Linked DNA regions of Bombyx mori. The protein of the gene in region 1 purifies or fractionates together with the protein of each later gene. This does not show direct contact. Links are inferred from orthologs where the notes say so. Each region holds a gene or a part of one and is shown on either strand. Other genes may lie near its edges. The genes, in order: pescadillo homolog, probable ATP-dependent RNA helicase DDX27, nucleolar complex protein 3 homolog and ribosome biogenesis protein WDR12 homolog.

Region 1 (7,737 bases):
CATTTCCTGAACATTTTACATTTCCAGAGATGTGCCCTTTTCGAAATTGCATATTCAATAACATATATTTTTCACTTCTTTAGGTGTCAAGATACATTGAAGCGGAAAGAGTATGTTGCTCTTGTAGATTCTGTCCGAGAAAATGGTGGAGATGTTAGAATATTCTCTAGTATGCATGTGTCTGGGGAACGTAAGAAAATTTGTTAAATAAAATGAAAATAGTCATGTCAGTATTGTCACGATTATTATGATCATATAAATATTCTTACAGAGCTAGATCAATTGACGGGTATAGCTGCAGTCCTGCGATTTCCTATGCCGGAACTTGAAGACAGTGATGCTGAAGAAGACAGCGAAAATGATTCTGATTAGCTTATCATTATAAAATGAATTCCTTAATTGACATTTCACCGTTATACTTGTTTAGGATAGTAAATTTTAACGTAATCTGTATTTAAATTGCACAAGAAGCCAATGGATCACTGCAGTTTCTAATGAAGAAATTGTACACTTGTTTTAATGAGTAGGTTTTTTATTAACCTGTTTTGTATGAAACCTAACAATTACTTGTTATTTTATAGTTAATTATTTTAAGTGTTAATTTCATAAGTATCATTTTTCGTGACATTTTTGTTATATTGTTTTCATAATAGCAAAATTTTTCTTTGTTATGCCTCAAAAATTTTGTACATATTTAAAATTAAAATAAGTTTTAGTTGTTGAAAATAGTATTTATTAATAAATCTCAAATAGAAGTAGCTTCTAGTGCTTGCATTTTTTGTTTCCGTTTTTCTGCCTTCTTTTCATCTTTGATCTTCTCGTCGTGAAGGCGACGTTTTTTCCTAAGCAGCCATATTTCCTTCTTACGTTTTTCTTGACCTGCTTTCATACTTTTATACAGATTGCGGTGCTTCTTTCGTACTAGCTTCTCGCGTAACCGGAATGCCTGTTTGTCTTCTATTTCTTTTTGATAAGGATGTTCTTTATGGGTTACACCTGTCGTTACCCTCATTGATTTTTTCTGAAAATAACCCATCATATATAAATTCTTTACTATCAAACTTATATTATATCTCCTATAATGATTTATTTTTCTATTCACATGAAACCTAAGATTTTTATCATTAATAAGAAAAAATTGGTTCTAAGTTATCGTTATTATTTATAAAAAAGTTGTAATCATATTAATAAAACTGAACATTATCAAAATTAGGTCAAACTGAATAAAATCAAGGTAGAAAACATAGAAAATTCTGATTTTCAATAGTAAAATTATAGTCATTCATATTATGTAGTGGGATTTTTTTTACCTTCTCTTTAGCCAGTTTCTTTTTCTCAGGGTCCAAATCATCATCATCATTTTCTTCTTCATCTTGAGATGAATCTTCATCAACCTCCTGCTGATATTGCTTAGTAATAGCTCTTTCAGCATCACTATCTTCAGAGTCGGGCTCATTTTGCTCCTCCTTGTCTTCATCACTGGCTTCTTCTATTTCACTTCCAGAAGAATCTGCATCTGTTTGAATAAATATCACTAAATGACAATGGTTAATTTTAAGATCATTGAGCTGTACCTTCTATATTATGCACAAACAATGTATGGCGCAAGCTTTCTAATTAACCATTGATATGTTTATTGCCAGCTGATATAAATGAAAATATTACTTAAGACTGAATATATTAATACTGAATATAAAAATGGCATATAAGTTTTCAGCCCACATGGTTTAAAGTGAAAAAAATATCACAATGTAAATAGCACCCACCCACCATGAGATATGAGATCAGTCATAATTATATTGAAATTTTGTGTCTACCTATTTGGAGTAATAAAACCAACACTGAAAAAGATTAGCATATTTCATTAGATAAAATTTGTTTGAAATATTCTTACTGAGTGGTTTGAAGTTTGGATCGTTAAGCTCTCTTTCTTCTGGTGGTATGTATACTTGATCTTTTATAGTGTCAACAAATGGTGACAAGTGAGGCGGAAGAATAGCACCAATCAAGTACTTATTGATTGGCAACAAAGTTCTTGTATTAACACTGTCAAAAACCCATTGCGGCTGGATGTAGTATCGCGATAAGTATTGTTTATCCATACTTGGTCTGTCTACTATTTGGTAGGCAATAGTTTCATCTGTCTCATCAAATGTTGCACCTACAAAGTGATCTTTATCCCATGAGCACTCTCCACCAAAGCAGCGAATTATGAATACTAAGGGTTCCCTGGGTACTTCTCTATTTATGTAAAACTTTAACCCTTTGAACAATGTTTTTAGCTTTTTAATTTTTTCTGCCTCAAGTTTGGCTTCTTCTAGTTTTTGGGGATCATTATCTTCTGTGGGAAATATGTCAATTTCTGGTAACTCTTCAACTTCATTTGATCCTTCAATTTTTGCAGGTGAAATATTCATAGCAGCTATACGTTCTGACACATATGATTGTTCGTCAATAAGGTCTTTGTCTTTTTCAGAAGAGAAACCAATAGGGAGTTTAGGCGGATAAACTAAATTCAGTGAGTGATACAGCTTGAAATTCACAAAACCAAGCATCATAGTGTAAAATTCCACAAATGTCGCCATAATTTTGAAGTCTACTTCATCTTTGCTTTGTGGCTGTTAAAAAAAACCAATTATAAATACTAGTGAACACCAGTCACACTCCACTAATTCTAGAAAAAAAATCAGTGTTTTGGAAATACTGCATGCCACCTAAGGTATATATATATCTAGATAGCACTATGACCTAAATCTTCCCTAGTGTGAATGATTACAGAATGAAATAAATGGTTTAGGAATGTAAAGAGAACAAACATACTAACTCTTTTCTATTGAGCCCACAGATTTCAACAACATAAATGCAACCATACACCTTGAGACAACAGTTCTTAGTCTCAGGTTTACTATACAATAGCAAACTTGCCTTCCTAATCAAAATGCATTATGGCTATGTGGCAGAAATAGACAAGATGGTGGTACCTTAGTGTGGGTTCACAAGACACCCTATCACAGTTAATAAATGAAACCAAGTATATTATTATGTCGAGCAGCTTTTGCTTTCAGTATCTAGATTAGTCCCACCCAGAACATGAATATAAGTGCTGACCCCATATGACCACTTAACAGTTGTAGAGGCAAGTTTTAATGTTTTTGTTTTTCTTTAGTACATTTTTGTATCTATTTAATATTTTTGATCATCTTTTAATGTTTGTTAAAACTTATATAATAAACATTCAAGTACCTGGAATGAGAAATGATGTGGAACAATCCATGTTATTGTTTGTCCTTCAAATTCAACTTGATAATAGAATCCCTTAACCGATACAAACACTTTACGTAGAGCCTTAGCAGCAATTACTGCATGCATGAATTCAACTGTCAGTCTTCTGCACAAGAATGATTGGTCTCTTGGAACTTTTTTCAATGATGGGAAAGTACTGAATAGGAAGCACAATGTGAGACAATCGTCCAAATCTCGCAAAGCGTCAACAAACGTGGGGTATCTTTCCTTTACTATGTGATCAATGTTTATTTCTGGATAGTCCCGCAAAAACTTTCTCATCTTGCCATATTCTCGCTGTGCTCTTGCACGACGAATTTTTTGTTGATAAACCTAAAATTAAGTCATTTTGTAAGTTTTAACAAAATTTTGAAAATAAACTTAAAGTATTACTTATATTGCTACTTTTGGCATATTTTTTACCTTTAGTTCCCTCAGTTTCCATATTATTGGCTCATGTAGTAAAAATTTTATATCTTTAGTGTGATAAAGTGTTTTGATTCCGCCTGCACCTTTTTGAGCCCTCTTTCGGTTTCTAGGTTCTCGGGGGTATATTCCTTTCAAAATACAAATACGTCTGAAATCTTTCAAGGATAGTTGTAGTTTCTTAAGCGCTGCTTTTCTGGTCATAAACTGAGCTCCTTCTCCGGAAGAATACTAAAAATAAAATATTTGTTGGTTAGGATCTTTGAAGACAACATAAAACACGTGTTCGATTTATAGGTAAGTACACACCTTCTTCTTCTTTTTGGACACCATTGTGATTGTTATCCTTGTTCAGAAAGTAATATGTAAAGGTTTTTTGTTTGGTTGTATTAAATATTGAATGTGCGTCTATTATTATTTCACAAGTTCGCACATTTTAGAAAGATTAATGGAGATTTGGAGATCAAATCAAAATCCAAACAGCATTTTGACATTTTTGACAGTAGTAGTAGTTCCATTTTCCAACAGAAAAGGCAAAAGTATCACATTATACAGTCTAAACATTAAACATTCTGATAAGTGAAAATAATAAGGATGAAATGAGGTGAAGGTGATTTATGATGATGACGCTTGACACGAGAGGACATCCTTCAAGATCTAGCTGGTCTACTCACATTTTTACCAGACGCCTGAAACTCTAACGCTAAGAACAGGCATAGGGACCCCGATAATCTAATCCATTGAAACCCATGAAATCTAACCCATAACATCAACTCGCTAAGTTACTCACCGGATCTTCTGATCGGTTTCGGTCGTATTCTATTTCGGTACTACATGTATGAAAAAATATGTTTGAGATATTATTTAAATAAAACTACGCAATCCCATAAATATTAAAGATTTCCGCAAAGAATGTAAAGACTACAAGCTGCTTAAATATCATGAAGGTCGGCAACGCCAGGGGCACAGTGAAGCTGCTGCAAGTGCACAAATTTGTTCCTTTTATTACCTTAGAAGACAGATGAGCACACGGCCTATTAGATCACCGAGTCGTCACCGATGCTCACAAATATGAATAATCCCAGTGGCTTAGCCGAGCTTCTGTAATGTTTACAAAACAACTCTTTTCGAGTCTCGTTTGATGAAGGAGGATATATGCTGCAAAACCTTAGACACATCTGTAGGAGGGATTTCATTCCAGAGCCGCATGGTGTTGTGATAAAAAGATCACAAATGTTGAATTGAGTGTTGCCAGGTCGGTGATATGTGTGAGTTTTGCTACGGTGGCGGGCACTGCAGTGGCTAAATGGGGTTCGCGGAATCATCATCAGAATTTTGAAGTCGTCGTGGCCTAAAGGACAAGACCTCTGGTGCATTCGTGTTGAACGATATGCACCGGTGTTCGAATCCCGCAGGTGAGTACCAATTTTTCTAATGAAATACGTACTTAACAAATGTTCACGATTGACTTCCACGATGAAGGAATAAGATCGGATAATAAAAATCAAACCCGCAAAATTATAATTTGCGTAAATACTGGTGGTAGGACCTCTGGTGAGTCCGCACGGGTAGATACCACCTCCCTGCCTATTTCAGCCGTGAAGCAGTAATGCGTTTCGGTTTGAAGGGTGGGGCAGCCGTTGTAACTATACTGAGACCTTAGAACTTATATCTCAAGGTGGATGACGCATTTACGTTGTAGATGTCTATGGGCTCTAGTAACCACTTAACACCAGGTGGGCTGTGAGCTCGTCCACTCATCTAAGCAATAAAAAAAAAAAAAAACTGGAACTATTCCTCAGATAACTTCTCATGGAACTTAAGATACAAAATAATTACAAAGAAAACGTTCATCGAAGAAAAAAATCATCGTAACTTAGCAAAGGTTTTGCTCCCGTGTTCATTTCGACTGAAGATCTAATTTAATTAAGGTTCATCTTGAGAATTTTTATTTAATAAGAAAATATATAATCCAGTTACATTTATTTAATAATTATCATAATATTATAAATTAATCCTTTTTTATTTATCTAAATAATATTAAAATCCAAAATCATTTATTTTCGCTCTTAGTATTAGGAGCAGGAGTTGTTCCTTGACTTTTGGTCCATGTACTAGGATCCATCATTACGTACATAGGATAAGAATAAGGCGACCACATCGGCGGTGTTGGCATCACAGAGTTGGCAGTATCTTCATTAACACCAGCCTCCTTTAAAATGCTCATTGCTTTTGTATATGCAGACATCATTTGGGGATAGAAAAAATGAAACGGAGAATATTGGGGAATGTTCGCTTTAGCAGGATCCAAACACGGAATTAAACTTTCGGATGCTTGTGACGGAAACGCACTGACCGGTAGAGCGTATGGATAAGGTGAGGTGCCTTCATTTGGTGCTGTTGTCATTGGCACCGCATATGCGTACTGGACCGGGGCTCCAGCTTGTTTTTTTTTGTTCACAGTTTCTTCATGAGGATAGCTTGCAGCGAAGGGGCTCGGAAATGCAGTTTCGTGTTTCTGTGAAGCTGCTGTGGCTGGTAAGAAGTTGACGGATGCATCGGTCAACCATTGCGATTTGACTCCATCTTCTTCTGTCGCGGCAACGTAAAGGTCTCCCGTAGATCCGTCGACCGAAGGCTTGATATAGAGTCCATGTACTGGATGGAGTTGATTCGGGTCGTTTCGTTGAGTCACGTGACCCTGAACACACGAGTAAATCACTATTAATATACTGAGTACTTTAAGCATTGTGCTAGAATAATTTAATGATTTTGGTTTTCTGAACGTTGCCTTTTATAGTATCAATATATTTGAACTGAACGGGTTTTGTAATCATTTTATATTAAAATCAATTAGATGGTAAAAAAAATCTTAATTTAAGCACGAAGCACGTTAACGTTCGATTGTTATCAGTTCGTCATGTTCTATCTCTTCAAGCATACGAGATAATTCATTTTAAAGATGATTTTTTGCTTTGCATGCTTTATATGTTGCATTTCATTTATCTCTTCCCGATAAAAAAAAATCATCAGAATACTATTCAATTCTATGATTTGAGTTTATCATTCTAATTACAGAAATTACAAAGAATTTCAAGGGATTAATTTAAAATGTCATATTTTGTTTGGACAATTTTGTGATCCTAAAAATGAAGGTACCTTTAACCCCTTTGTGCTATTAATTAGTCGCATCTTGACTTTTTTGGAGATCATGCGTATTGTTAATAATTATTTATATTAATTTTAAATTACTTGCTATAATAGTTTACTTCTAATAACGATTAAACATTCGGCCTACCTTACCGTAAACTTTTTCGGTTGATGCCATGCCAATTAGATGATTTATTTTAAAAGATACTTTAATAATATAATATAGAACATAAGTGTAATAGTGAGATATAATTATAATAAATATTTATTTATTTATTGCACAGATGGGCAGACGAGCTCACAGCCCACCTGGTATTAAGTGGTTACCGGAGCCCATAGATATCTACAACGTAAATGCCGCCACCCACCTTGAGATATGAGTTCTAAGGTCTCAGTATAGTTACAAGGGCTGCCCCACCCTTCAAACCGAAACGCATTACAGCTTCACGGCAGAAACAGGCAGGGTGGTGGAACCTACCCGTGCGGACTCACAAGTGGTCCTACTACCATATACCACCAAATAATACCTACTAAAAGTAAACTCACATATAATCACAAAAGGATCACATGTATTATGCCGGTAAGCTTTCTTATTTTAGATGTGTCATGTCTACACTAGTATGGGGCACAGATTAACACCACCTCAACTCTTCTAGTGGGTGTACTAAGAGAAAAAAGGGATTCACTGAAGAATGAAACCCATTGTTCTCAAAGTATAATACTAAGAGTATTGGAATCGTAAACTCGCATTTGCGGTGGGGCGTATGGTAAGCTTGCAATGGTAGTTAACACCGTTTTGCCTATTTCTGCGGGGAAGCAGTCATGCGTTCCAATTTGAAGGGTGGGTTAGCCGTTGTATTATACAATCGAGACTTCGAC
Region 2 (7,264 bases), on another chromosome or scaffold:
TTTGCCCATGGAGGATTTGGTGGTTGGTTGGAAGGTTGCCCATGCGATAGACCGACCAAGTCAAGTCGGCAGTTGGCGGCTGTTTACACGAGTCTACCAGGCTCACCACAAACCGGGAGAAGTGGCGATTGCTCGTGAGACGCATGACATCTGTGTTCTTAGTGCGAGTTAGCTTAATCAGAGCGTAAAAGTTAACTCATATTTGTATGGAGTCGAAACGTTTGCCTACATTTGCCGCTAGGGGCGCTGTTCCAACTGTATACAAAATTGTGTTAACTTTTACGCTATCGAGAACGTTAAAGAACTCGCACTAAGCACACTGGCCACAACAATGATACTGAATGACGACCACGACCGCTCTGACAAGAGTGATACGACAAAAGAAAGAGATGTCGAAGAAGAAGAGAGCAGTAATGCATTTCGGTTTGAAGGGCGGGGCAGCCGTTGTAACTATACTTGAGACCTTAGAACTTATATCTCAAGGTGGGTGGCGCATTTACGTTGTGGATGTCTATGGGTTCCAGTAACCACTTAACACCAAGTGAGCTGTGAGCTCGTCCACCCATGTAAGCAATAAAAAAAATTAACACATTACTATTAATTCTTGTCTCCGTACCTGTCAGCTTCGTCCAGCACCAGAACCTCGATGCTGTGGAGCCCGAACGAGGGTGTGTTCCGTATGTGATCGATGAGCCGACCCGGCGTCGCTATCACTATGTCGGGGTTCTGACGCAGCACGCTTTCCTGTCGTCCATTGATGTGGTTTTAATGGCACGTCTAACAATACGCAGCCTTCAAGTTGTTAGAAACTGATTGCATCGATTACTCCGGGCTCGATTCCCGAGCGTATACATTTTCGGAATATGAGTCGTCTATTATCAAAGGTGGCAATCTGTGCATTTGGACAAAAAAATGTTATTGATATGTCAATACAGATTGATTTGATTTGGAGTCGTCGTGGCCTAAAGGATAAGACATCCGGTGCATTCGTGTGTAGCGATGCACCGGTGTTCGAATCCCGCAGGCGGGTACCAATTTTTCTAATGAAATACGTACTCAACAAATGTTCACGATTGACTTCCACGGTGAAGGAATAACATCGTGTAATAAAAATCAAAAGCGCAGAATTATAATTTGCGTAATCACTGGTGGTAGGACCTCTTGGGAGTCCGCACGGGTAGGTACCACCACCCCGCCTATTTCCGCCGTGAAGCAGTAATGCGTTTCGGTTCGAAGGGTGGGGTAGCCGTTGTAACTATACTGAGACCTTAGAACTTATATCTCAAGGTGGGTGGCGCATTTACGTTGTATATGTCTATGGGCTCCAGTAACTACTTAACACCAGGTGGGCTGTGAGCTCGTCCACCCATCTAAGCAATAAAAAAAAAAAAAAAAAAATTTGAATATAATCGTCTCCTTCAAATAATACGGTTCAAAACCTGTATTAAATAAAGGTTAATACTTAACCTGTTATTTATCTAAGATGTCGTTCAGAAGAGTTTTGTGACTGCCAATGGAATACAAAGTCAATAATTCGTTTTTCTGATTTACCAATAATTGTCCAAAAGTCACATTGCCGACTTTGATAATAGTCGACTCATATGTAACACGAAAATAATCCTATTTTTTCCTACTTAAGCTGAGAGCCTTGAGAGGCTGTTTCAGCGTAACCTTAACTAGTAGGTGAGCTCACAGGGCTCAAACCTGACGACGTTGCTAACACTGACCCTAGCAAGAGCCGTGCTTCGCGGAATCTACCACCGGATCGGAAACGCGACCCACTGAGAATATCCGGCGAGAAACCCAGTGGGCTGTGTCTGAGGGTTGGAAAAATAATCCAATTTAAGGCCACTGCATGTGTACTCTAGTTTTAAGATAGATCGGATCTTAATTTGCCTAATACTAAACACAAGCGGCCCGCTCCGGCTTCGCTCGGGTCTTTAACAAAAATTGCAACGATATTTGACGTTGTTTTATTTTTTTAAATAAAAGAACACTTAGTGCGGCATAGCTATAATAGTTAGATATAATATACTGTCGCGACACTTTTTGTAAATAATAATATGTTCTACAAAGTCGTAGTACATTATTATATTCTATCATCAATACTTTTCGCAGAGCACGCGATGTAAAGAATATTTAAGGTAATTTTTTTACACTTTGGGTTACATTATTGGAGTTTTAGTAAGGATCCCTAATTTTGTTCAAAAAAGATTATTGCCCATGTCACTCGGGAATAGTGTAGCTTCCAAACAGTGAAAGAATTTTTCAAACCGGTTCAGTAGTTTCGGAGCCTATTCGATACAAACAAACAAACAAATCTTTCCTCTTTATAATATTAGTATAGATGAGAACATTTTGAAGTCGTCGTGGCCTAAAGGATAAGAGGTCCGGTGCATTCGTGTCGAGCGATGCACCGGTGTTCGAATCTCAGGCGGGTACCAATTTTTCTAATGAAATACATACTTAACAAATGTTCACGATTGACTTCCAAGGTGAAGGAGTAACATCGTGTAATAAAAAAAAAACGATCAAAATTATAATTTGCGTAATTACTGGTGGTAGGACGTCTTGTGAGTCCGCGCGAATAGGTATCACCGCCCTACCCATTTCTGCCGTGAAGCAGTAATGCGTTTCGGCTTGAAAGATGGTGCAGCCGTTGTAACTATACTGAGACCTTAGAACTCATATCTCAAGGTGGGTGGCGGTATTTACGTTGTAGATGTCTATGGGCTCCAGTAAGCACTTAGCACCAGGTGGGCTGTGAGCTCGTCTACCCACGTAAGCAATAAAAAAAAAGTCTAAAAAACACTTTAAAATATTTTATGGTGTACACATAGACAGGAACGGTGTACCATCCCGCGCAGACCACAAGACATAACACTAAAGAATGGTATGGTATTCCCACCTGATATTTAACATCTAATCCTCCCACAGACAGACCCACAGACACCGATGAGAACTGAGCCAGTTGTCTTGTGACTGCATGGACCTGTAACCAAGTTCTGTTTTAACAAGCAACATCACCAAAAAAGCATTCTGAAAGTTTTTTCTAGTATTCTTACTATATCAGACCACTAATAAATATTATTTGAATGTAAATTTAATTACTTAGAAAAATAGATAAATGAAAAATACAATTTATTTACTATATGACACGCAATGAACGCGCAATCCTCGTCGAACCCGTTAACCCACAGACACAGCCCATTGAGTTTCTCGCCGGATCTTCTCAGTGGGTCGCGTTTCAGATCCGGTGGTAAATTCTGCGAAACACTGCTCTTGCTAGGGCCAGTTTTAGCAACACACTCCGGTTTGAGCCCCGTGAACTCACCTACTAGTTCGGTGAATCTAGAATAACCCCTCGAGGTTACTAGAATAGGAACAAAAAAAAACAATAACATGCAAAGACCAAATGCGCACCCGCGAGTTCGTTGACCCAGCCCATCAGCTGATTTTTGATTACGTTATATGACGTAATTTCTCAATTTTTTAAAATTAATTTGAATAAAAAATATCCTGACCTGAGCACCAAGTTCTCTAGTTGGCACAAGTACCAGGACCCTGGTGATCCGGTCCCCTCCTTTCGCCTTGTACAGGAGACGCTCCAGTATGGGCAGCATGTATGCAGCCGTCTTACCAGTGCCAGTGGCGGCGCATGCGCATACGTCCTTACCTATATCATATGTCATATAATTAATGTACACTATATTACACTGTACTATATTATAATGTACACTATACTTAGTCTGGCCATAAATACTGTTACAATTAAAAATAAACAAAATATTACATTTCAATTTGGAATCTGTCATTTTTATATGATTGCTCATTGAGTTTTCTCATTTTGGCGCCAATACATTGTATAATATTTTGCGATATTAAAATGGAGTGGAGTGATAAAGAGAACCGAATCGCTGTGATTGCATTACACAAAGTAGGTATGGAGCCAAGTGCAATTTTTAAAACTCTCCATACGCTTGGTATTAGTAAAATGTTTGTGTACCGGGCTATTAATAGGTGCAATGAGACCTCCTCTGTTTGTGACAGAAAAAGATCTGGCCGTCCACGTAGTGTTCGTACGAAAAAGGTGGTCAAAGCAGTAGGAGAAAGAATTCGAAGAAATCCTGTCCGAAAGCAAAAGATTTTATCTCGGGAGATGAAGATAGCACCTAGAACCATGTCGCGTATTTTAAAAGATGACTTAGGACTTGCAGCCTATAAGAGACGTACTGATAATTTAAAAGAGAATAGGGTGGTAAAATCGAAACAACTAATGAAGCGGTACGCAAAGGGAGGTCATAGAAAAAATTTGTTTACGGATAAGAAATTTTTTACAACGGAGCAACATTTTAACAAACAAAATGACCGTATTTATGCTCAAAGCTCTAAGGAAGCTTCCCAATTAGTCGACAGAGTGCAACGTGGGCACTATCCGACTTCAGTGATGGTTTGGTGGGGTATTAGCTATGAAGGAGTGACTGAGCCATACTTTTGTGAAAAAGGTATCAAGACATCGGCACAAGTGTATCAAGATACCATTCTTGAGAAGGTAGTGAAGCCCCTTAACAACACCATGTTCAATAATCAAGAATGGTCCTTCCAGCAAGACTCCGCGCCAGGTGATAAAGCTCGGTCTACGCAGTCTTAGTTGGAAACGAACGTTTCGGACTTCATCAGAGCTGAAGACTGGCCGTCGTCTAGTCCCGATCTTAATCCGCTGGATTATAATTTATGGTCAGTTTTAGAGAGTACGGCTTGCTCTAAACGCCATGATAGTTTGGAGTCCCTAAAACAATCCGTACGATTGGCAGTGATAAAATTTTCCCATGAAAAGAGTGCGTGCTTCTATTGATAACTGGCCTCAACGTTTAAAGGACTGTATTGCAGCCAATGGAGACCACTTCGAATAAGCTTTTTATACTTTAAATTGTTTTATATTTATGTATTAAACTAACACACTGTAAAAGTAATAAATATTTTTTCCTTTGTAACAGTATTTATGGCCAGACTAAGTATATAAGATGAATTTTTTAGTTAAAGAAGCAATTTTTTTAATTTTAGATCGTTATTTTAGAATTGAAAGAAGAAATATTTCAGCAAGTTTTTCAAATTACAACAACACTAAAGAAGTTTTCACCTCAATAAGCTCAAAATTTCAATTTTACTTTACAAATGCATTTTCGCATTGAAAGTTTCTATTCCGGTTTGAAGAGAGGAACTGGTATTACATAATACAGCGGAGACTGTAACCTCATTATCAAGTATAACTGCATTTATTTTGTGACGTCTACAGAGGCTCCGGTGACAACGTAACATATGGTGGACAATCCACAGCACATCTACGTAATAAATTAATAAAAATGTTATTGCTTGTAGCGGTCTTACAACGCAAGATAATTGACAGATGCCTGAATCTCGCTTACGACATTTTCAAAATAAAGCGCATATATACAAGTTCCGAACAACAACATTCGGACCGTCGGTCTACCGAGCAACATCACCCGCTCGGTGGAAGATCTTTCCTTTGTCGTAAACCTACATTGCTTCATGGAGTCCTGTGTCCAGCAGGGAACATCTTTTTTTATTGCTTAAATGGATGGACGAGCTCACAGCCCATCTGATGTTAAGTGGTTACCGGAGCCCATAGACATCTACAACGTAAATGAGTCACCCATCTCGAGATATAAGTTCTAAGGTCTCAGTATAGTTACAACGGCTACCCCACTCTTCGAACTGAAAGGCATTACTGCTTCACGGCGGAAATAGGCGGGGTGGTGGTACCTACCCGTGCGGCCTCCAAGAGGTCCTACCACTAGTAAAAATATCTGCAGTAATGATAAGCAACCATCCCTACTAAGTGTGTGAGGTGCGAGCCTTACCTAAAAGTGCAATAGGAATGGTTGCGGCTTGTATGGGCGTTGGGTGTACAAAGTTCAGAGAGCCAATAGCCTTCATGAGAGGTCTGGATAGATTCATGTTGTAAAACGAAGCGTTTTCATCATAAGGAGGTGGCTCCTCGAAGAAATCCGAGTCATATTCAATTTTTGTTCCTTCTTCACCTTCTTTTAGTTCCTAGAACATATGTTTTTGATACAAAACACTGAATAAATTAATTTAAGGAGATTCAGTCATGGCTATGTTAATTGGTCATCTGCTGAATTTGGGGTTTTTATGAAACAGGATCCCTAACTCTTCCCTGATTGATATCAACTATGGACCTGTCTACATTTTTTTTAACAATTAATCATCTTGATTTAAGAGAGGCGGAGCAAGTAATTTTTATTTTGTTTGATTGTACAAACAGATAGAGACCATTAAAATGCTTTTTTCATTACCTGTTCCAATTTCTTTTTTTTACTAATTTTTTTTTCTTTAATTTTTATATGATCTTTCTTCAGTTCATCATCGGATATTTCCAATTCATCGATTTCTCCATCTGTAAAAGGTTTAATATCTTTGGTTTAAAATCTATTGTTAATTATGTTACATCTTTTAAATTCCAAGGTATAACCTCATCAGAAGAAGGACATCTCTTTTTTTTTTTCATTCCTTAGATGGGTGGACGAACTCACAGCCCACCTGGTGTTAAGTGGTTACTGGAGCCCATAGACATCTACAACGTAAATGCGCCACCCACCTTGAGATATAATTTCTAAGGTCTTAAGTATAGTTACAACGACTGCCCCACCCTTCAAACCGAAACGTATTACTACTTCACAGCAGAAATAGGCGGGACGGTGGTACCTACCCGTGCGGACTCACAAGAGGTCCTACCACCAGTAATTACGCAAATTATAACTTTGCGGGTTTGATTTTGATTACACGATGTTATTCCTTCACCGTGGAAGTCAATCGTGAACATTTGTTAAGTACGTATTTCATTAGAAAAATTACCTGCGGGATTCGAACACCAATGCATCGCAACAACGAATGCACCGGACGTCTTATCCTTTAGGCCACGACGACTTACTTACTTATGATCTATATCTCTTTAGCGAAATACGATAAGTTGTGTCTTCAAACCTTTATCTTCGACATCTGAATCAGTCTCAACAGAGTCAGCATTTCCATGGACTTTGACATGCGCTCTACGTTTCTCAATCTTCTCATCCAATGTCCTTTTTACATTACGACGTACATACTTGTGTAAGTCATCCCAAGTGTTCTGGAAATAGGTTTTAATTTAATTTTCATTCTTTTTTTTACGTTATAATGTAATTTTCAATTAGGGGACATTTAAAACTATGTCCCTAAAGATACC
Region 3 (7,264 bases), on another chromosome or scaffold:
GTTACAACGGCTGCCCCACCCTTCAAACCGAAAAACGCATTACTGCTTGACGGCAGAAATAAGCAGGGCGGTGGTACCTACCTGCGCGGACTCACTAGAGGTCCTACTATCAGTTAGGTTGCAGAACGAAACCCTTGCCGAGTTCAAGGAGTATGGCCGGGGGGGGGGGGGGGGTGTACTCACATCTTGGCGAGGTCGTCGGGCAGGTCCCCGCGGGGCAGGCGGGCGGCGGCGCGGCGCACGGCGGGGTGGTGGTGCCGGCGCAGCGCCGCCAGCTCGTACAGGTGCGTGGTGTCGGCGTGGCAGTGCTCGGGGGAGGGCAGCAAGGGGTCGAACCGGCCCGCGCCCCCCGGCTCGTCCTCGCGCACCAGCAGCGCCGACACCGCCTTGCTTTGCTACACACAACACTCATTACTTGCTATACGTTCATTCCCGATCGTGCGGACAGAATGGAAAGCAGTCGACGTCGCCCAAAACACGTCATCTCGGATCCTCCCGATCTACTAACGGTGCTTCTAGGTACCTCAAGCACCGGTCATCGTTCACCGACGCACCGGTCAGTAAATTAACCCACATACACAGCCCACTGAGTTTCTCGCCGGATCTTCTCAGTGGGTCGCGTTTCCGATCCGGTAGTAGATTCTGCGAAGCACGGCTCTTACTAGGGTTCGTGTTAGCAACGTCGTCAGGTTTGAGCCCCGTGAGCTCACCTACTAGTTAAGGTTACACTGATATAGCCTCTCAAAGCTCTCAGCTTAGGTAGGGGAAAAAAAGGATTATGTTCCCCTGGGTGGAGGTGCCGGTCCCACGGACTGCTCCGAGTACCGCCTTTCGAGACACAATTAACAAGCCACACACGTAAGAGCGAGCTGCAAATAATCACTGGACCGCGGCGGAGGCCGAGATTTTTGTATTGTACGTTGACTGCGGCCCGCACCCGAGCTTACTAAACATTTGTGTCGAGTGAGCAAGTCAACTTAGCACCGAAATCATACGATTTTACGTCACACCAGGTGATCCGTGTGCAAAGCCGGTCAAACCACGCCCCCTGCAACATGTCGCCGGCGCATCTTATTTGTCGAAGCGGTAAAGACACAAGATGGCGACGCTTTCATCTATTGTTCTTCAGGCGGAGGACATGTTGAAAGGGGCGGCAACTCCCGCAAATTATATTATTGACTATAGTAGAATTATTTTATCCGTGCAGTTTGGGTCATAAAAAATCGGAGCGGTGAAGCGATTATTTCGCTCTCTCTTCCACTCACGGCCCTTATGGACGGGCATAGTGATGCGCATTATTGTTGTCGATAAGCGTTATCGATAGTGTATTTAGTTTTGACATTTTGTGGATTAGTAATAAAAATGAAAGAAAAAATCACTAATCGAACACTTACACCACATATCGCCGTAGCAAATTCACGAGAACGGCAGAAATTAACACTGTAACTTGTCGGGATCTATTCTTATTTCAGTGAAAATGTTTAACACATTGTTGATAACAACACGTGCAAATATTATTTTGAATAAATTCTGCCGTTTTGGTACAAAACAAAGGAGTAGCCATTGTGTCACTAAAGAAATTCAGAGAACGAATGCATAAAAACACATTTCTCTTCGACATAATGTACTATAATTTGCAAATAAGTACAAATGACTCATAACATAACAATGTCTCACCACCCTTCGTATACCACCCGCCGCCGTGTACCTGCCTTCGATGACTCATTTGTTTTGTATATTGTATTGATAATGGCGTTGCGGCCGCGCAACATGCTCACCGCCCTAGCCGGGCTATGGTTTATGACCCAAACTACACGGACAAAATAATTCTACTAGTTTTAATTTTTACTATAAATACGATTGTGCCGTAATTGCGATAGTCCTCCTCCTCCTCGCTTCGTTTTCCTCATTACTGAGGGTCGTGACTCCCCCGCTGCATCAGTTTCTCCCGTACAGTTTCCCTTCATCTGCTGCGATCCTTAGCTTCATGAAGGGCATTGTGGAAGTTGATGTTTAGAGAAGATCGTATTTGGTCCGACCATCCTAGATTGTGACCCTCTTTACGAGCAATTTGTCCGAAGAATTCCAGCAGCCAATTCCAATTGTGATACAGACCATCTGGAATGTTTCACATCGACTAAAACCCTCGTAGCTTAAAATTAGATGAGCGGTAGACTCACGGTGGCCAGGCGGTGCAGCAGCGCCAGCGCGGCCAGGGCTCCGGCGGGCGGCAGCTGCAGCGCCAGGGTGCCCAGCCGCTTGCCCAGCGCCTGCAGCACGGCGCCCGGCACCAGCCGCGCGCGCCCGCACACCTGCGCCGCCGCCCCCAGCACCACGGGGGCGGAGTCCTGCGTGCCGCCTGCGGGGGGACACACACCTGAACACAGACTCCGCCACTCTAGTCCCAGCCTTAAAGGCTGAAGCTTAGGACGCAATGTACTATGCCAATAAATCGGTATAATATCTATATTAATGTATAAATCTACAGTGGTTTTTACGGATGGTCCGTTATAACTACTGAACCGTGCATCCGATTGACTTGAAACTTGGTATCCATGTAGAAAATACATGTAATGGATAGGCTAATATTTATATGAGTGTTGGACTCCCTAATAATAATGTTAATTTTAAATGCCCAGCGAAACAGGTGAGTACGGCTACTCATTAATATTATTAATACCTTCTGGAAGTCGACAATGACAAATGATGACGTCATATGTGATTAATTATCGAATGTGCAGTATACTGTTATACAGTGAGCTACCTCACTTACTTTAACCACGAATTACGTCAAACGTAACAAAATCAATAGTAAATAAATAAATAAATATTAACTAACAATCACGCCACGTTAACTGGTCTCGTGATAAATTCGTAAAGAACTTGTGTTACAGGTACCAGATAACGGAGATCAATGTAAGATTTTTATTATACATATACACATAATTAATATACATACGTCCTTAACTCTGGAAAAGACATTTTTTTTTATCATACAAATATCTTCCATTGGCGGGATTCGAATCCGTGACCCCCTTGTGTAGTGACCATGTCACCAGACGACTGTTTATCGAGTTCAGCAAAATTTAAGAAACTTGCCGTAAATTTGAAGAATAATGAGTTCTCAGTATTGAGACACATAAGGGGGGTGACGTCACCTGCGTGCGCGTACAGCATGTTGGCGTAGAGGTAGGCGTGGAAGCGCGCCGGGTCCAGCGCCAGCGCGTCGCCCGCCGCCGCCAGCACGCCCAGCCCGCAGCGCGCCGCCCGCAGCCCCGCGCCCCGGGGGGACTCCGCCCCCAGCAGCGCGCACAACACGCGCACCAGGTCCGAGTACAGCTCCAGGTTGATCACGTGCCCGAACCTGACAAACCACACGCCGGAAGTCTCAACAACAGATACTTTAGAATTGATAAATAATGGTTTAAAAAAACTACAAAAAATACACTTTTCTAGAAAATCCCACTAAAAATAGAAAATAAATTTTAATAAATAAATAAATTAATAAATTTAAATTAAAAATAGTGTAAGAAAAAAATATTTTATTGTAAAAAAAAGCATGGGGTGCTTTTCAGGATATTATAAAAATATCTATATTTATTGATACCATAAAAGCATATTTTTTTTTTTTTTTTAAAGATTTTTTTTTCATTTTATAGTCGAAACCGAAACTGAATTCGAATTGAAAAAAATGAATTTTTCAATTTTTCAATAATTTCATCTGATTTATTGTCGATAACTTATCCGAGAAATAGGTGATCGGCGCGCCTGGTAGTTTCCCTTCTTGATCTTGACGCAGACACTCGGGGTCTCAGGAAAACAAAAAATCGCTAATCCTGATTATCCTAGTAAAGATAACGGATCAAATTGTTTAAAATATTGAATTGTCATCGATCCTTCATAAGTATGCCAAATTTCGTGTTATCCAACGTTCTGAAGGGGGTCAAAATCATGTTCAAAGATTCCGTTACATACTAACATACGTATGAAACTAATAAAAGCGTGTTAACAAATATTGGATATCGTTTATTTCAACAATCTCGAGTAACCAAAGATTATTATCTATCTATATCTATATATATAAAAATAAATTTCTGTTCGTTAGTCTCGCAAAACTCGAGAACGGCTGGGCCGATTTGGCTAATTTTGGTCTTGAATTATTTGTGGAAGTCCAGAGAAGGTTTAAAAGGTAGATAAATATGATATTTTTTTTTCTTGGATTGCCCCCCGTCGGACGGATTCCTTTTGTTTGTTTTAAGTTTATTTTATACAAAAGTTTAGGTCTTTCATTTATCGATTGAGGCACTACGAAGTCTGCCGGGCCAGCTAGTTTTGGAATAAATAATTAAAAACTATATTAGATGCGTATGTATGTAGACAGTACTTGGAGATGCCGTCGAGCGCGGCCACGAGGAGCTTGGAGGAGGGCGCACTCTTCAGCAGTCGGAAGTAGATGTGGAAGACCGTCTTCACGACCTCCGTCAGTTGCCGCTTCCGCGCCGCCTCGTCCTCCTGGGCCTGAGTCTCCAGCAGCTCCTTCTCCACCTCCTTTAGCTTTTTGGCTCGCTGCGGGACAGAAGAGGGTGATGTCACAAAAACGAACATCATCACTACATAGTACAGCGGTCGGGGAGTTTTTTTAATTATTACCCCAAAATATAAAAAAAAAAAAAACGAAATCGCTTCTTTTTAGTGTCTTTCGTATTATAGACCCCATGATAATTTTGATAACAATAAATTTAACGATTCTAAAGAAGTTTCAATTTAATATATGCTTTTTACCCCCAAAATTTCATTTTACTCCATTTGGGGTAATTTACCCCGGTTCCCCGACCGCTGACGTAGTATAAAACAAAGTCGCTTTCTCTGTCCCTATGTATGCTTAAATTTTTAAAACTACGCAACGGATTTTGATGCGGTTTCTTAAATAGATAAGGTGATTGAAGAGGTAGGTTTATATGTATAATAACCTCCATTAAATAGTGGAGAAATCAATAATAAATTACGGTTTCCGAAGCGAAGCGAGGGCGGGTCGCTAGTTTCACTATATATTAAACTAGCTTTTCCCCGCGACTTGGTCCGCGTGGAATAGTTACTTAACGCTAAATTTTACCGGCGACTTCATTTACGTAGAAAGTAAAAATATTTTTGAATAACACATTTGAATTGAAACATCCTTTATTGGTGCTCTTATCTTAGCGTGATGTTATATAGCCTATAGCCTTCCTCAATAAATGGCCTATCTAAAACTGAAAGAATTTTTCAAATCGGACCAGTAGCTCCTGAGATTAGCGCGTTCAAACAAACAAACTCTTCAGGTTTATAATATTAGTATCGACGCTTGAAAGGCAAACGTGACTAAGCGACAATAACTGCTTTATACATAAATGATAGGCAATAACCATATTCGAGGCGCAAAAAAAAATAATCTAGGTCTATTAGAATCATTTCAATCCTACAGATAGATTCGTTAAAATATAATTTTTCTCAGGTATTTCAACTTTTAATTAGTCTACTGTAAGGTTCACGCATTGTCGCTTAGTTACGTTTGCTTTTCAAGCGTCGTAGTATAGATTTCATGATCATTGAATCCGTCGCGGGCACCTTCTTCTCCTTCTTAGAAAGGTTAACGATCCTTTTCTTGTGTTTCTCGTCTTGTTTCTTCTTGAATTTGATGTCAGCTTCGGCGTCTATATCGACGTCCTTTATCTTCAACGAGAGGAGACAGTCCAGCGCTGAGGGGTGCAGCCGCTCGCCCCTCCTCTTCACCAGCTGGTTGATCAGCCTGACTATCTGAAACACGTGACGTCAGGGTTGATCTTGGCAGAGCGACGGTCTCGGTACTGATTTGAAAAGAAACTATTTTATTTCTAACTAGCTGACCCGCCAGTCTTCGTATTGCCTCAATCGATAAATAAAAGACCTAAACTTTTGCATAAAATAAACTTAAAACAAACCAAAAGGAATCCGTCCGACGGGGGTCGTCACATAAAAGGGAAACAAAATTGTTATTTTTATTTAATTCCGAGCATTTTCATATTTATCTACCTTTTAAACCTTCTCTGGACTTCCACAAATAATTCAAGACCAAATTTAGCCAAATCGGCCCAGCCGTACGCGAGTTTTAGCGAGACTAACGAACAGCAATTTATTTTTATATACAGGGTTACAGGTTAAGTCGACCTATTCCCGTTAAGAGCGTGTAGCTTACATCGTTTCTGACTGATTTGACTATGAAACACCCTACCCTAAATCTAACCGATCTGGAGATATTTCAATTTAATTGTTTTTTATAAAAAATACCCGATTTTCAGGTGTCAGCTTAGATATTTTGAAATGCGTAAGTCTTATTATTATTATTACATGATTTTTACTCGTAAAATAAGATGCTGTATGACATGAAATTTAGACCTTAGGATGTTTTTTTGGAACTTGAAAGTTTAATAAATGTAGTATCTTGTACATACTTGTTTTATTTAGCCTCCCCTGTAGCCTATAAAACTAAGTGTTTTCGACAAATTTTTGATAAAACTTTAGATTGCTATACCTTGTTGGATAGCTGACGAAACGTAGATATTGTTGAGCACATCTGCCAAACAGGCGCCATAATATTTTTTTAAGATATCCTTGAAAGAAAAATAATCTTTCTAATTTTTTATTCGTTTTTATAAGTTGTAATCGTCTAAAACGACTTGTTTATTCATTTTACGTACAATATTTGTTATTGGGGTCATACAGCATCTTATTTTACAAGTAAAAATCATGTAATAATAATATTAAGACTTACGCATTTCAAAATATCTAAGCTGATACCTGAAAATCGGGTATTTTTTATAAAAAACAATTAAATTGAAATATCTCCAGATCGGTTAGATTTAGGGTAGGGTGTTTCATAGTCAAATCAGTCAGAAACGATGTAAGCTACACGCTCTTAACGGGAATAGGTCGACTTAACCTGTAACCCTGTATATATAGATTTTTAAGGCAGAGTCATACATGTGCCCAAGATCCTTTGTGTGTAGCCGTGAAGATGTACAGCACAACATGAGGTAACGATTTGCACGAGTGACTGGCGCTGGCTACAACAGACTGTGGTCTTTTGAGTCAGAAAGAAACTGTTAGACGCCCTGGGGGTGCTGGGGGCGAGAGGTGTTGGGGGCGGGGGGTCGCGCCGGGGCATATCAACATCGGACTCACGACGAGGGTGATCTCTCCTTTGTTGTCGTGAGCGAACACGTTGGCGCAGCAGTCGGTGACGAGGCCG
Region 4 (7,829 bases), on another chromosome or scaffold:
GAACCAGTAATATTCTTTAATTTACTATTAGCTAAAATTAAATTCCGAAAATAATAATTCATAACTTACCTGTAGATCTAGGGTCATATAACCGGACATGTCTATCTGCTGATGCAGTAATAATGCTGTTGTTCAGAGGTGACCAATCAACATCAAAAAAGGCCTTATTACCTAGAAAGTTAAATGTAAATATTGTTTGAATACCAATTAGAGAAAAGGACACAGAATTTGCAAGACTGCACTTTGACCATGACCACCAGAATTTATTATATTATGCCTACTAGCTTGAAGATCTGTTGACCCTGCTACATCTAAATCATTTGTGAGAAGTCTTCTGTTTTTAATTTCTATATCATTTAAAGCAAAGATTTAATGAATTTCAGAAATGTTTTTCATACAGGTTTAAAATTTCATGGCAAATTTAACATACCAGCAATTTCTTGTTTAATACCACCCAAATCACAGTCCCAAATTTTCAATAAGTGGTCCCAACCACTGGACAGTACTGTGTTGTAATCCATCCATTGAACACCCGAGATAGCCTCCTTGTGTCCTTTTAAAGTGGTCAGTGGATTCTATAAATTTAATAAGTAAAATTGGAATCATATTCATTCATTATCCAAGCAACATTTCACTTCATTGTTTAAAAAAATCAAACTGTTTTACCAATTTAATTTTTTTAAATCTGCACAACTTTTAACTATAGTAGAATTATTTTGTCCGTGCAGTTTGGGTCATAAAAAATCGGAGCGGTGCAGCGAGTATTTCGCTCTCTCTTCCACTCACGAGCCTTATGGGCGGGCGTAGTGATGCGCATTATTGTTGTCGATAAGTGTTGTCGATAAGTGTTATCGATAGTGTATTTAGTTTTGTCATTTTGTGGGTTAGTGATAAAAATGAAGAAAAAATCATTAATCGAACACTTACACCACATATCGCCGCAGCAAGTTAACGAGAACGGCAGAAATTAACACTTTGTATCTTTTCGGGATCTATTCTCATTACAGTGAAATTTTTTGTATGCATTGTTGATATAACACGTGCTTGTGCTGGTATATTTTTGCCAACAAGCAAAATATTTAAATAAATTCTGCCGTTTTGGTACAAAACAAAGGAGTAGCCATTGTGCCACTAAAGAAATTCAGAGAGCGAATGCAAAAAATCACATTTATTTTCGACATATGTACTATAATTTGCAGGTAGGTACAACAAATGACTCATAACATAATGTCTCACCACCCTTCGTAAACCACCCCACCTCCGTGTACCTGCCTTCGATGACTCATTTGTTTTTATCGATAATGGCGTTGCTCCCGCGCAACATGCTCGCCGCCCTAGCCAGGCTATGTTTTATGACCCAAACTGCACGGACAAAATAATTCTACTATAGTCAATTGAAAAAATCAGTCCTATAATATCTATTATACACAAGTATAGGTGTTATAGGACTGCTTCATTCAATTCATACTCACTCTAGTGGTGCCGTGTTCTGGTTTACTTTTCTTCGTAGCTGGATGGTTTTCTTCTTCTGCTAAGCCTAAATTGGGTAAATATGCATATTTTATTTATTATGTACATTCAAAAAAACTAATTTAAAAATAACAACTAAACCAATATAATACACATTTGATTTATTCTCGAGGACCACATAGCTGTTTTTCCACTTGTCATCTCAAAGGAGACCTATAATATAGCTGTACAAACATTGCAACTAGGGTTTAAATCGATTCAATATATTTTTTTATTGCTTTTGTAGGCAGACGAGCATACGGCCCACCTGATGGTAAGTGGTCACCATCGCTCATGGACGTCAGCAATGCCTTCCAAAAGTCCTTTCACTTAAATTATTATTAAGTATCTACTCACTTGCACTCCAAAGACAAACATTGTTATCCCAGCTCCCACTTGCAAAACGGTTACCATCAGCCGACACAGACAGGCATTCAATTCCCTTGTCGTGGCCACGGTAAGTGATCATACAGTCAACAGAATTTCTAGGTACATTCCATACCCAGAGTATTGCTGTTTGATCATGAGATCCACTGAAATCATACATACCTACATATCATTTTTACTGGTGGTTGGACCTCTTGTGAGTCCTCACGGGTAGGCACCACCACTCTACCTATTTCTGCCGTGAAGCAGTAATGAGTTTCGGTTTGAAGGGTGGGGCAGCCGTTGTAACTATACTTGAGACCTTAGAACTTATAGCTCAAGGTGGGTGGCGCATTTACATTGTAGACGTCTATGGGCTCCAGTAACCACTTAAAATCAGGTGGGCTGTGAGCTGGTCCACCCATCTAAGCAATAAAAAAAAGTGTGTGTGTCCGCTCCGACGCACGACTGGAGTTTACTGGATATAAATATAAATTTGTGTCAGTTGAATACAGTAAAATATGGAAGTTACGTATTCTAGTGAGAATGATCCGGGAGTTGCGGAACACGTGGATGCGGTAATTAAGTAAGTCTATATAATTCACTTTTACAATTAATATATAAGTTGTCCATTCACTGATAGAAGGAATTGTTTATATTTAATAAGCTTTATTAATAAATGATTTGTAGCGGGTTATATTCGGGTATCAACCCACTAACAGTTGATACGTTCAGGAATCGAACCCGAACGGCGTCCGGCCACAAGCAAAACGATGTCGGTAAATTAAACGAAACAATACGAGAAATAGTTCTATATTACGACAACACGATACACTACAGATTATTAACAAATTAACGAGACACAAAACAAACGACTAACAAATATATGAAAATACAATAATGAGAGAAACGCGCGATCAGTACGAGGCTTTGTGGCGGACTGCCGGCGCAGCAGCCCGGCGTCACCTGCGATAACGCGGCCGCGCGTTGGCTCCTGATTGGCGCGCGCACGCATCACCATCAGCCAATCAGGCGCATAACGCATTTCGTGTGACATGCTATACTCTCTAGTACGATTTTGGTCCCCATAATTTTCATACCCCGGGCCTATATATGTAAATCGATTCTTAAGGAGTAAACTCCAAAAATAAAAAAAACCTTCTGTATACATCTTCAGGATTTAATTATTTTTGTCATTCTATTTATGATAAATTATCTATTTTAATTTTGTCAGATCATAACTGCTATGCTATATCTGTAGTATACATTTTTAATATACTAACTAAATAATACTGAGATACATTTAAATTTAACTTAAATTTGTCAATGTGACATGTTTTTATATCAAATATTTTTATCAAATTACTATCTATTCAATTTCTCACCTAACAAATGTAGCTTGATCACCCTGGAAGGACACCCATGATACTGCTTTTACTGGTGATGTATGACCTGGTATGGCTAGTTTGTGTTGTCCTTTTGTGCTCCATATATGTAAGCTATTGTCATAACTTCCTGATAGAATCCTGGATGAAATGAGATTTGTTATTTTACACATTATTTTGTAAGATTTTACATTTAACTTTTATTTATATAAATAAATAATTTGATTTTATCTAAATTTGTTTTCATCTTACCAACTACTGTGTGCCTGAACAGCTGACACCCAATCATCGTGCATTAAACAGTCCTGTGGAGTTGGTGCAGGGAACCTTTCCAAGTATTCGACCTCAAGCGTGTCCTCTGTCGATACCCCTTTTTCTTGTAAGTGCTCTGCGAGGGAGGCACAAAGTAACTCTCCACATACTAAGAAATCAAATATTACCGCCTTCTCGAACGATGGTGAGGTCTCCTTCAAAATTGCGTTGATTAAGGTATTAAGGTCCGCAGGGTGTACGTTACACTGGATAGCGTAAGGACTATCCGGAACTGCATATCTGCATAAAATATAGGCGGCTTAGAGCGAAGTACTTTATTGGACCACATGTCAAAACAAGTGCAAAACTTACTGTTCTTGTTTAGTTATAAATCTAACTTGCAATTGAGCTTCTAAAGCATCGCCAGACATTTTGTACTACAATATTTTAAGTTGTGTTAAAGTTTGGTATTGATATAAATGAAGACTACACAACCTGAAATGACCTGAATCTAAACTAATAACACGCCGGATTCTCATTGACAGTTTTCAGTTTTCACCAAACCTGACATCTGACAGTAGTAGTTCCACTTTTCCAAGTAAAAAGGCGAAGGTATCCTAAATTTTTAACGTTACATCCTAATCTTTTGTATGTTGTATATTTTATTCTCTTTCATGAAAAATGATATGGAGTGAAATGAAGTGAAGTTGATTAATTTGAGATATTAATCTAGACTTGCGCAAAACATCACTTGCCAATGTAATGTGATATGACATCACTTTTACGGACAGGTGATATTACTCGAAAACATTACACATCACTCTTAACATTACTCGGTGCGTTCAATAGATACTGTGACGACGAGTACATTGTATCTATACACCCGAATCATTACTTAAGTGATGTGTATGAACACATCACTTAAGTAATGATTCGGGTGTGTCATTACAGTAGTGTATTACAATACAAAGTATGAACTTTGTATTGTAATACACTGTTATATTACTTGACAGAGATTGACTTACTTAATAATATAATAATTTTATTTTTTACTTAATATAATTTATTGTGGGATGAACGGATTTCATATGGCGACTTAGACTGCAAATTGAGCTCGACAATAATGTTAATATACGAGAGCAGTAGATGCATTGTTTCGGCGCGATATCCTCAAAGTGCATCCAAGGAGGACTGTACTTTCATTTAGACGCCGTTCTTTCTTTCACTTATTAAACACGCATTAAAACAAATAATAAAACTATCTTCATACAAGTGCTTAAGTAATTCAAACACAGAAATTAATATGAAATATTACTAAACAATTACGAGCGACTAGCGATTTTACAAAAGTTGCGAATTAAAAATTAAGTAACTACTTGCGGGGAACTACTGGCTGGCCGCATGAAAAATATAAACACAAATACCTATATTAAAATTCAGACGTACCATAGGTATAAAAATGTACCTAGCGGCCAGGGCATACGGTTCAAAATCACTAGGAATAATTCCATGTCGCTTGCTCATTTATTTTGGTCGATCGGTCTGTCTCGCTCGCTCGGTTCCGTTCGTGTATTAAGCAACATTACACGACAAAGAAAGAAACATATTGAGTGATAGTGTGATGTTTGTTTCCTTCGCGTAATGTGTGATGTTGCATTACATCGTAGAGTAATATTACCGGAGTAATATCACTCGCATTACTTACACATGTCTATATTAATCAACTGAGATAAAATTAAATGAAGCAAGTTAATGTGGAATAAAATATAATCTCATTAAAATGTTGGTTATTTACAGAAACTTTTTCAGTGGACTTGTTGGAAGATTCCGAAAGGCTACATCCAACGGCTCTGTTTCGTTTTCCTACATTTATGCACTTTCACAGATTCTTAATAGCTTATAAACCTTCGTCATTACTCATTTCAACCTGAAGAAACATTAAATTAACAGCTGAATCATGGGTCAAACACAGAACACTCATAAGTTTTGAGCTTGATATAGGTACACTTTGTAGTACACTCTCTTAAATAAATTCTCAGGTAACGAATAACGAATGCCCAATTTTGACAAGTTCTTCAAAATTACTTCCTACAATAGATGTAGTGGTAACCACAACAAAAGTAGTAGTAGACTAGCTATTTACCTTAATTTTAAAGGAGTTAAATTTTCCCAATAATTATTCTTTTGCCACAATAATTCTCTTTGTTAAAAAAAAAAGGATTGAGGTTATGTCAGGCTCCATCAAAGATAGATGTTCTATTTGTTTACATTGCATTGAAATGAATTTAATATAAATATTTCACAAAATGGTCGTTAAAGTAGATACAGCCAATAAGCTAAAATATTGCCTTAAAAGAAAAGCGGGTAGAAGTATTATAGAAAGACGCCCAATATTTTCTCCGGACGGCGAGTAAGTAAAACAACACATTTATATCCACGATGTTAAAATGTTAACAGAGAATTCAAAATCTTAATATTAATGAATAGATTAAATGAATTGTCCATAATATTCAAACAATTATGTTATTACAATTTAGAATGCTCTAAAATATAAGTATAATTTTTTTAACCTATGAGAACAGTATGTTTTAATCTGCATAGATCAAAGCTGCGCGTTCTAAAGAAAAAGCATTAAATTGGCGGCTTATTTATGTTATAGATCAGTGGCAGTAATAGTAGAAGATATAGTGCATGTATACAATGTACAAACATGCGAACTAGTCAGGACCTTAGAATCTGAAACTCCCATTGATGGGTTTGTTGGAATAGAATTTCCCCAAAATGAAGATTACAATTTATATGGTTGCTCTAAATCTGGACTGGTCACAATATGGACGTGGGACAAAGGAGCAGTTCTCAGAGATACTGTAAGTAGAATTGTTACAGCTCTGGTAAAATAAAAATAAGTTTTCTGTGCAGCGTCAGTCTAGAATATGACTACTCCAACTCTTTCCATTAGTATTGTAAAAGGTAATTAGTGATTGGTAATCACCAGCTGGAATTTACTGATGGCTTAGAAAATGTAAGCCTGTACTTAAAGGAATCTGCATATGCTCCGCCTAGTTGTCAATGGCTACCATCACTCATGGACATCTGCAATGCCAGGGGCATAGTCAAGCTGAGCAACCTACCATTGAGTACTCACCGCAAACCATGAAGAATAAGAAGGAGAAACCATTTAAAGAAAGCCATGCTTAAGAAATACTGTGGAGAGAAGTACATTCTAAAGCTGGTCGGTCCATGGCAAGATGCCATAGTTCTAGGTAGTGTGTAGGTGGGTGGAGGCATTTATATTGTTAATGTCAATAAGCTTCAGTAACTACTTAACACCAGGTGGCTGTGAGCTTGCCCATACATCTATGCGAAAAAAATGCATGATGGGATCAGACATTCCTCATCTCAGATAACTTGTTTATAAATTAATAACAATTAATATAAGTGCTAAAGAATAAACAAGTTTTTCATAAACATTTAAGTTTATATTTTTATTATAAATTTAACTTTCAGCATCTTCAAATACCTGCAAATTTAATAGTACTGACATTTGATTTAATAAATGAAAATGAATGTTTTATAACTGGAGCTGGTGGTTCATACTCAAAAAACATACATTATGCATCATATTCAATAAAAACTGGTGAATTACTTTGTGAATACGGAACTCGGATATGGAATACTCAACCTTTGATAAAGGTTGCTCTCGGTTGGAACAACGATGACAGATTTGCTGCAATCTGTAATGGAACAAAATCATTGTACATTCAAAGCATTTACAATCAGAATACATCTGCAATGTAAGTTACATAAATATTGACTGGCTATGAGAGACAATACATCTCTCAATTTTTTTGAGAGTTTAGATGTACAAGACTAACATTTGAACTCTTTTTGCAATCATTACCCTAATACTCTCTAGTAAGAATATGGTGACAATGGAATAGGTACAAATGTAGCAGGATCATTAAAAATGCCAAGACCGGCACCAACTAAGACAGCTGCACCCATCTGCAAAGCACACCCTGCAGCATAGGTAAAGCCCCCTTTGTCTTTGAAAATGCTGATGTTAATGCTGTTTCTTGAAGGCTGGCATACCTGTATCTGATCTGTCAATGATGATGACTAGTTTCATTAATAATTATAATTGATTATCAAAAATGAACAAGCACTAGAAAATGATATTATAATTAAGTATACCACTGTAGTTTTGTGCATAAAGCTTAATGAATAATTTAATGGTGTAACCCTTTATTTACTATCCAAAATCCATTTTCAGCACTAATACAAATATATGATTTGTATCATCTATTTAACATTTTG

What was found.
Region 2: the proteins of pescadillo homolog (region 1) and probable ATP-dependent RNA helicase DDX27 purify together in Homo sapiens (affinity purification with mass spectrometry; 4 studies listed by BioGRID and IntAct, counting the BioPlex papers as one, with this or other methods). This does not show direct contact. The link is inferred for Bombyx mori from reciprocal best matches to the Homo sapiens genes PES1 and DDX27.
Region 3: the proteins of pescadillo homolog (region 1) and nucleolar complex protein 3 homolog purify together in Homo sapiens (affinity purification with mass spectrometry; 3 studies listed by BioGRID and IntAct, counting the BioPlex papers as one, with this or other methods). This does not show direct contact. The link is inferred for Bombyx mori from reciprocal best matches to the Homo sapiens genes PES1 and NOC3L.
Region 4: the proteins of pescadillo homolog (region 1) and ribosome biogenesis protein WDR12 homolog purify together in Homo sapiens (co-immunoprecipitation; 7 studies listed by BioGRID and IntAct, counting the BioPlex papers as one, with this or other methods). This does not show direct contact. The link is inferred for Bombyx mori from reciprocal best matches to the Homo sapiens genes PES1 and WDR12.

The regions. Positions count from the first base shown.
Region 1 is NC_085116.1:5,444,002-5,451,738, forward strand, and holds pescadillo homolog, read right to left. Parts: upstream 4,245-7,737; 5' UTR 4,042-4,244; coding exon 4,018-4,041; intron 3,940-4,017; coding exon 3,706-3,939; intron 3,616-3,705; coding exon 3,244-3,615; intron 2,619-3,243; coding exon 1,895-2,618; intron 1,517-1,894; coding exon 1,311-1,516; intron 1,022-1,310; coding exon 746-1,021; 3' UTR 711-745; downstream 1-710. UniProt on the Homo sapiens protein: Component of the PeBoW complex, which is required for maturation of 28S and 5.8S ribosomal RNAs and formation of the 60S ribosome.
Region 2 is NC_085126.1:9,620,745-9,628,008, forward strand, and holds part of probable ATP-dependent RNA helicase DDX27, read right to left. Parts: intron 7,169-7,264; coding exon 7,027-7,168; intron 6,440-7,026; coding exon 6,339-6,439; intron 6,076-6,338; coding exon 5,883-6,075; intron 3,677-5,882; coding exon 3,525-3,676; intron 2,993-3,524; coding exon 2,909-2,992; intron 745-2,908; coding exon 617-744; intron 1-616. UniProt on the Homo sapiens protein: Probable ATP-dependent RNA helicase. Component of the nucleolar ribosomal RNA (rRNA) processing machinery that regulates 3' end formation of ribosomal 47S rRNA.
Region 3 is NC_085113.1:12,524,388-12,531,651, reverse strand, and holds part of nucleolar complex protein 3 homolog, read right to left. Parts: coding exon 7,198-7,264; intron 5,794-7,197; coding exon 5,605-5,793; intron 4,567-5,604; coding exon 4,385-4,566; intron 3,365-4,384; coding exon 3,159-3,364; intron 2,360-3,158; coding exon 2,181-2,359; intron 396-2,180; coding exon 184-395; intron 1-183. UniProt on the Homo sapiens protein: May be required for adipogenesis.
Region 4 is NC_085114.1:8,372,065-8,379,893, reverse strand, and holds the start of ribosome biogenesis protein WDR12 homolog, read right to left. Parts: upstream 4,237-7,829; 5' UTR 3,944-4,236; coding exon 3,885-3,943; intron 3,813-3,884; coding exon 3,513-3,812; intron 3,402-3,512; coding exon 3,261-3,401; intron 2,043-3,260; coding exon 1,867-2,042; intron 1,538-1,866; coding exon 1,473-1,537; intron 576-1,472; coding exon 431-575; intron 172-430; coding exon 70-171; intron 1-69. Other genes in the region: WD repeat-containing protein 75, read left to right, coding at 5,819-5,922, 6,172-6,379, 7,020-7,306.